2 linked regions of the Sus scrofa genome follow. The protein of the gene in region 1 purifies or fractionates together with the protein of each later gene. This does not show direct contact. Links are inferred from orthologs where the notes say so. Each region holds a gene or a part of one and is shown on either strand. Other genes may lie near its edges. The genes, in order: EIF5 and EIF3G.

Region 1 (3,813 bases):
ATGACTGGGGGGAGGATACAACAGAGGAAGCTCAAAGGCGCAGAATGGATGAAATCAGTGACCATGCAAAAGTTTTAACCCTCAGTGATGATTTGGAAAGAACTGTTGAAGAGCGTGTCAATATCTTGTTTGATTTTGTTAAGGTAAAATACTTGCTTTAAATATTCTGTTGATCAGCATATCTGTTTCTACCCAGTCTTAAACTTTTGTTAGATTTTGCTTAAAGCTGTGTACTTGGCAAATAATTTTTTTAATACTGTTTTCTGAAATGCTCAAACGCAAGTCTATTTTTTTCTGTTTATTTAAATATTTTTGAGGGTAGTTTCAGGCACTGTCCTTAGCAACTGTGTATCATTTACCCATCTTAGAACTGTCTTGAATTAGGGGAGAGTTGGAGCAAGGACTATCTATCTCTAGAGTAAAATGTGCCTCCACCTACTGAATCTTCCTTTTATTTACAGAAAAAGAAAGAAGAGGGTATTATTGACTCTTCTGACAAAGAAATTGTAGCTGAAGCAGAAAGATTGGATGTAAAGGCCATGGGCCCTCTTGTTTTGACTGAAGTTCTTTTTAATGAGAAGATTAGAGAACAAATTAAGAAATACAGGCGCCATTTCTTACGAGTAAGCAACTTACTATACATTCGTAAGTGAGATTTACAGCTATGATCTTGGATACCTTGTTTTCATCTTTTTATTCCATCTGTCATCCTGAAAATGGAAATAATTGACCTGCTGTAGCAGAGTATCTGGAAAACTATTTGTAAATTAGAGATCTGAGAATCATAAGGCCGAGTTCTGGTTGGTGGCCCAATGGATTAAAGATCTAGCATTGCCTACAAGCTGTGGTGTGGGCCGGCAGCTGCATCTCCGATTCGACCCTGCACTTGTAAGCCAAAAGTGCAGCCCTAAAAATTTTATTTTTGTCTTTTTGCCTTTTCTAGGGCCATTCCTGCGGCATACGGAGGTTCCCAGGCCAGGGGTCCAATCGGAGCTGTAGACTATGCCAGAGGTACAGCAACACCAGATCCTAGCTGTGTCTGCAGCCCACACCACAGCTCATAGCAATGCCAGATGCTTAACCCATTGAGTGAGGCCAGGGATCCAACCCGCAACCTCATGGTTCCTAGTCGGATTCGTCAGCCACTGCGCCATGATGGGAACTCCAGTCCTAAAAATTTTTTTGAAATTTTTAATTTAATAAAAATTTTATAAAAGGAATTCTCCTAAGGCAATTTAATACACTTGGATATTGGAATTGTTAAGAAAGCTTGTTAATGCCAGGATATCTATTTGCAGTTTTGCCACAACAACAAAAAAGCTCAACGGTACCTTCTTCATGGTTTGGAGTGTGTGGTAGCAATGCATCAAGCTCAGCTCATCTCCAAAATTCCGCATATCTTGAAGGAGATGTATGACGCAGACCTTTTGGAGGAAGAAGTCATCATTAGCTGGTCGGAAAAGGTGGGGAATATATAAACAAGCTCTTCAAGATGAGAAATACTGGGGGCTTGGGGGGGCTTTATGTTTTTTGAAGTAGTAATATTTAGTGTCTCTATTGAAATGCAGTCTCTTTGCTTGACTGGCGTACTCTGAAGTGTTCCCACCGTCACCATGGCCGCTTTCTAGTAGTAACCAAAGAAAACTTCATGCCTTTTAATACTTAACTTGCTGAATGTGTTTATTCTGTTGAGAGTTAAAGGTTAGGGTTTGGCTCAGTCCTCAGAGAGAGATGAGTATGGGCAATTACATGAATTACTCAAGTTATTTGTAAATTTCTCAAGCTGCAAATTTAATTGAACTTATTCTAGGCTTCTAAGAAATATGTCTCAAAAGAACTTGCCAAAGAGATTCGTGTCAAAGCGGAACCATTTATAAAATGGTTGAAGGAAGCAGAGGAAGAATCTTCTGGTGGTGAAGATGATGATGAAGATGAGAATATCGAGGTGAACACCAAAGAAATTATTAAATACGGTGCTGGTGATGGGTGTTTGGGAATTATAAAATGCCAATATTTGGCAATTCCAAATTAAAACTTTTAAATGCAATAATTAGTTTATAGAGGAATTACGTTATTAGAAAAAGTGGGAGTTCCCATCGTGGCTAAGTGGTTAACGAATCCAACTGGTATCCATGAGGACGGGGGTTTGATACCTAGCCTTGCTCAGTGGGTTAAGGAATTGTCATTGCTGTGAGCTGTGGTGTAGGCCAGCAGCTGTAACTGATTAACCCCCTAGTTTGGAGACATCCTATGTTCCCAAACTAGGGGGTGTGGCCATAAAAAGACAATTTATATGGCAATTCTATATACAATCTCCCAGATACTGTATATGATTCCAATTAAATAAAATATTGTCTGAGTTCCCTAAAGGGAGGTTGTTTTCTTTCGGTGTAAGTTGAGTGTAGTGGTAATGTCTACAAAAACGAAGATAACTCTTAGGCTGCCGAGAGGTTAACTTAGTTTGGAATAACAAAAATTTTCTTGGGCATTCCCGTTGTGGTTCAGCAGTAGCAAACTTGATTGAATCCCGGAGGACATGGGTTCGATCCCTGGCCTCACTTTAAGCATTTGGCTGGCGTTGCTGTGAGCTGTGGTGTAGGTCATAGGTGTGGCTGGGATCCTGCAGTGCTGGTGACTGCTGTAGGCCAGCAGCTATAACTGAATCAACCCCTAGCCTGGGAACTTCCATATGCCACACATGCGGCCTTAAAAGAGACAAAAGGAAAAAAAAATTTGTTGCAGAATAATGTCTCTAGGTAGTTTTCCTTTGTTGACCATTGATCTATTTTTGTAGGTAGATTTATTGGGATAGTTTATAAGTAAAAAAAAATTTTTGTTTTATCAGGTGGTGTATTCGAAGACTGCCAGCGTACCGAAAGTTGAAGCTGTGAAGTCTGACAACAAGGATGATGACATTGATATTGATGCCATTTAAAGGGGTGGGTGTAGCCCAGCTTAACTGTGTAATGCTGAGAATCTTTTTGCATCATCAGGCAGAAGTGCAACATGTATGTGCAAAAGCTAAAATGGCTTAACATCATGCTACACTTTCTACTAAAAATGTATTGCTGTGAGTGGTCTGTAATTAAACCCAACAAGACATCTAGGGAGTCCATACACATCAGTGAGCAGGTGTAGTTTGCTTATTTATAGCATGTTTCTTTTTGAAAAATTAGTGGTGGACACATTTGGATCACATTTATACAGTTATAAAAATAAAGATTTGATTTTGGTCATTCTTCAGATTTGGGGCTCGAATGACTTAAGTTGAAATGGCTCCTCTTAAAAATGTTGCACCATCATTTAACTTGGTAAGATTATTGGAGCCTGTTAGTATTGTTGGGTGCTGAGACTATAGAGAGATCTTCAGCAGAATGTGAACGTAAACTTATAATTATCTTACTCAGCCATTAAGAAATAGTACTTTGAAGTCTTATCTTTAGTCCTTCATGTTGGCGTGTGGTAATGTCCATTCCTCCCGTGCCAAGCTGGACTGGTTACCAGATGACAATGAAACACTTTACGAAGAAGTCGAAATGACCTGAGTGTCCTATAAATAATTTTAAGAGCAGGTTTTGAAACTTGAATTATTTTTTGGGTTTTTTTGTTGTTGTTGTTTTTTTTTTTTAGTTCTTCTATACTTGCCCCAAATTGTAGTCTTTGAGGTCATGTGCATTGCACGTTGGATGAGCCAGGGGAATTATTACAGTAACATTTAAGCATTTTATGTGTATGTAGCTGTTGCTTTATACTGAGAAAATGGAGACTTTGGGGAGTGATTAGCTCTATGATTTTATTTGGGGGAAGCAGGGA
Region 2 (4,317 bases), on another chromosome or scaffold:
CTAGCTTTGGTTTCTTCAGCTGTAAAATGGAAATAATTTTCTCTCCACAGTTCTCGCAGAATTCAATAACTGAGCTTTATTGCTATTAATAACTTTTTTTTGTCTTTTTAGGGTCGCATCCACCACCATGCAACATACGGAGATTTTAGGGCCTAACCCACACCCGTGGCAAATGGAGTTTCCCAGGCTAGGGACTGAATCATGGCTGTAGCTGCTGGCCTACGCCACAGCCACAGTAACACAGGATCTGAGCCTCGTCTGTGACCTACACCACAGCTCAGAGCAACGCTGCATCCTTAACCCACTGATCAAGGCCAGGGATCAAACCTGCATCCTCATGGATTCTAGTCAGATTCATTTCCACTGAGCCATGATGGGAACTCCTGTTATTAATAACTTTAAATTTTTTAAAAGGTAAATGAATTAGAAAACTATATATAGAACTACCATATGACCCAGCAATCCAACTCTTGGGCACATATCCAGAGAAAACTGTCCTTGAAAAAGATACATGCGCCCATATGTTCATTGCAGCACTATTTGCAATAGCCAAGACTTGGAAACAACCTAGATGTCCATCGACAGATATGGATTAAGAAGATGTGGTATATATACACAATGGAATACTACTCGGCCATAAAAAAGAACAAAATAATGCCATTTGCAGCAACATGGATGGAACTAGAGACTCTCATACCAAGTGAAATAAGTCAGAAAGAGAAAGACACATACTCTACAATATCCCTTGTATCTGGAATCTAATATATGGCACAAATGAAAGTTTCCACAGAAAAGAAAATCATGGACATGGAGAACAGACTGGGGTTACCAAGGGGGAGGGGGAGGGAGTGGAATGTACTGGGAACTTGGAGTTAATAGATGCAATCTATTGCCTTTGGAATGGATAAGCAATGAGATTCTGCTGTACAGCACTGGGAACTATATCTAGTCACTTATGATGGAGCATGATAATGTGAGAAAAAAGAATGTATACATGTATGTGTGACTGGGTCACCTCGTTGTACAGTAGAAAATTGACATAACACTATAAACCAGCTATAATGGAAAAAATAAAAATCATTAATTAAAAAAAGAAGATAAATGAGTTCTTGCTGTGGTGTTGCTGGTTAAGGACCTGGACTTGCTACAGCTGTGACATTGGTCACAGCAGCGGCTGGGATTTGATACCTGACCGGGGAAACTTCCATACGCCACCCGCGGGGCCAAAAAAAAATGGTTAGAACTGCGCCTCTACTCAACTACCTAGTACCAGAGCCCAGCCTCTAATAAGCCAGCGCCTCTACCTCTGTCCACAGGGCGGCACTGTGGGCGCAGCGGCCGGGCTGCTCTAGGCGGCAGAACCGGAAGTCTCGTTCTCCCCACCTTCCGGTCTTTGGCCCAGGCTTGGGCTGCGTGGGGAAGGTTTTAGCTATGCCTACCGGAGACTTTGAGTGAGTATGAGGTCGTGGAGGGGGGCTTGGGAGGCAGATTGGGGGTCCTAGGGCGTATTATGGGGCTCGGGTGCCCCGAGGCCGTGGGATCCGGGCCTCGTCTCACCCAGCCTTCCCCCGCGGCAAACTTGTCCCCGCAGTTCGAAGCCCAGTTGGGCCGACCAGGTGGAGGAGGAGGGAGAGGACGGTGAGTTTGCCCTGTTGCCCAGGATCACCGCAGCCAGCCCCCAGCCCGTCACTGCCGCCTGCTCCAACCCCACCACCCCGACCCTGGCGCCGTTGTCTGACCCAGAATCTCCCTTCACGGCCAGCCCCTGCCCCGCGCCATCCTCATCAGGCCAGCCTGTATCTCCCATTACAGTTGTTCACCGGCCAGTCCCTCTTCCTCCCATGCCACCGTCAAAGTCCTTGGTACCAGCCTAGCTGCTCCCCTGCTCCGGGGAGGAAGTTGTCACAGCCTCTCTCCTGTCTTTGTACTAGCACGGGGATGCCTTTGGCCCGCCCCTGCCTTCATGCCTGGGATCCTCTATGCCGGGCATTGCTGGAAGTCACTACAGTCAGCTCCATGTCCCTGCACGACTCTCCCAGGACACTTCCTGGCTAGTCCCCTACCCTTGGTCCCACCTTTCTTAGCTCCCGGGAGGGGCATCATCCCAAAGGTCCCTCCATTTCAGCTTGGGAGCTCCCCCACCCCCCAGCTGACCCCAGCTCCCCACACTCCCTCTCACAGACAAATGTGTCACCAGCGAGCTCCTCAAGGGAATCCCTCTGGCCACCGGGGATACCAGCCCGGAGCCTGAACTACTACCGGGAGGTGAGTGACAACCTCCCCGCCATCCCTGGGTTGCCTCTTCCCCTGCAGAGTTCCTGCCTGGTCCCCAGTACCCAGGGCTCAGTTCCTCTGTCTCTCCCCCTCTCCCAGCTCCACTGCCACCTCCCAAGGAGGTCATCAATGGAAACATCAAGACAGTGACCGAGTACAAGATAGATGAGGACGGCAAGAAATTCAAGGTGAAGGTTGGGGGAGGAGGTAGATGCCCTTTGCTTGGGGGCTCTTGGACTAGGAGAAAGTGGTGTGTGCTGGGTGGGTTGATGAGGAAGATACCCTGGCCCAGGCCCTCGGAACCTTAAGGAGCAGGAAGCTCAAATTTCTCCCCTCTCCTACCCACAGATTGTCCGCACCTTCAGAATTGAGACTCGGAAGGCCTCAAAGGCTGTGGCAAGGAGGAAGGTAAGACCCTCCTCATCCTGTCTTGGGGCCTCCCCCAGGGCTGACTCAGAGAAAATAAGAATCCTTTTCCCCAGTGCCTGTATTTATTTGGCTATGCCCGGGGCATATGGAAGTTCCCGGTTTACGGGTTGAATCAGAGCTGCAGCTGCCAGCTTACACCACAGCTACAGCGACTCGTGATCGTAGCCACACCTGTGACCTAACCCACAGCTCAGGGCGATGCCGTGTCCTTAACCCACTGCGCAAGGCTGGGAATCGAAGCCATGGATACTGCTGAGCCATAATGGGAACTCCTTAACTGTACCAATTTTGTTGGAGCGGAACTGAGGCCTAAGGGTGTTTGCACTCTGTCGGGGTCCTGAAAAGCCCAGCATGTGCAGGAGTAGGGGGGGTTGTCCGCCAGCAGAAACAAAGCCAAGTCCTCCCCTGAGATGGTCGTAGCAGAAAAAGTCATGGCAGTAAATACATTTGGCACAATTACCTGTGCGCTTTCTCTGCGTTAGACCCAAGCTCTTTGCAGGAAGCGTTTTCCCATTCAGTTCCCCTGGAATTCCAGGGAGGTGGGGGTCCATTGGGGTCCCTTTTCCTGGAGGAGGCAGCTAGGGTTCAGATTGCTTAGCTAGCTCTGGGCCCCTGGAAGTCTGGGTGACCCCTACGCACCCTTGAGCATCACTCCCTGGTAGGAGCTGGTCCGCTACCTGCACCACCCCAGCAGGAGTTGTTGGCTGTGGAGGGGATTGTCCCTGAGCCTCAGTCCTCTAATCTGGAGCATGGAGCCTAGAGCTGCCCTTGCCTCTGGAACTGGTGTGAAGCTAGGGCCTGGCATGCGCTCAGGGAACAGGAACTGTCTTTGTCACTGCTCTGAGGGTCATTTGGGGGAGGCTGGAGAATGGGGTTCAAGGCCCTGGAGCAGACATTGTAAGTCTAGGGAGCCAGCAGAGGGGTCCTGCTTGGCCTTGCTCTGACTTGTCTCTCATCCCACCCTGAGCTCAGAACTGGAAGAAGTTTGGGAACTCAGAGTTCGACCCACCAGGGCCCAATGTGGCCACCACCACGGTCAGTGATGATGTGTCCATGACATTCATCACCAGCAAAGAGGTAAGTAGGCCAGGAGGCTGGGGCCAGTGGCCAGGGTGGTGGCGGCAGTGGCGGGGGGTGCGGCAGTCCCGTCTGAGCTGCCTCTGCCTGCCCTGCCAGGATCTGAACTGCCAGGAAGAGGAGGACCCAATGAACAAGCTCAAGGGCCAGAAGATCGTGTCCTGCCGAATCTGCAAGGGCGACCACTGGACCACCCGCTGCCCCTACAAGGACACACTGGGGCCCATGCAGAAGGAGCTGGCCGAGCAGCTGGGCCTGTCTACTGGCGAGAAGGAGAAGCTGCCTGGAGGTGCTGGGGCCTGGGGACTCGGGGGACAGGGATTGTGTTCACCTCCAGGAGAGTTGTAGGTTGTCACCTGCTGTCTGAACAGGGCCACCGCTGTTGGCAGTTGTCATCTCCCACACAACAGCAAGGCTGCAGCCACAGTCCATGCTTGTGTGTGTGTATGAGAGAGACTGGCGGTGGCTGCTGTGACTGCTGGCGATGTCCCCTGTCCTCTCCTCATTAGGGGCTGTGAGAGCGGCTCGTGTAGGCTT

The links.
Region 2: the proteins of EIF5 (region 1) and EIF3G purify together in Homo sapiens (affinity purification with western blotting; 3 studies listed by BioGRID and IntAct, with this or other methods). This does not show direct contact. The link is inferred for Sus scrofa from reciprocal best matches to the Homo sapiens genes EIF5 and EIF3G.

What each region holds. Positions count from the first base shown.
Region 1 is NW_018084979.1:1,906,790-1,910,602, forward strand, and holds part of EIF5 (eukaryotic translation initiation factor 5), read left to right. Parts: coding exon 1-143; intron 144-461; coding exon 462-623; intron 624-1,298; coding exon 1,299-1,463; intron 1,464-1,810; coding exon 1,811-1,945; intron 1,946-2,845; coding exon 2,846-2,935; 3' UTR 2,936-3,813.
Region 2 is NC_010444.4:68,967,670-68,971,986, reverse strand, and holds the start of EIF3G (eukaryotic translation initiation factor 3 subunit G), read left to right. Parts: upstream 1-1,338; 5' UTR 1,339-1,431; coding exon 1,432-1,451; intron 1,452-1,591; coding exon 1,592-1,638; intron 1,639-2,181; coding exon 2,182-2,265; intron 2,266-2,373; coding exon 2,374-2,462; intron 2,463-2,622; coding exon 2,623-2,682; intron 2,683-3,675; coding exon 3,676-3,780; intron 3,781-3,879; coding exon 3,880-4,069; intron 4,070-4,317. UniProt on the Homo sapiens protein: RNA-binding component of the eukaryotic translation initiation factor 3 (eIF-3) complex, which is required for several steps in the initiation of protein synthesis.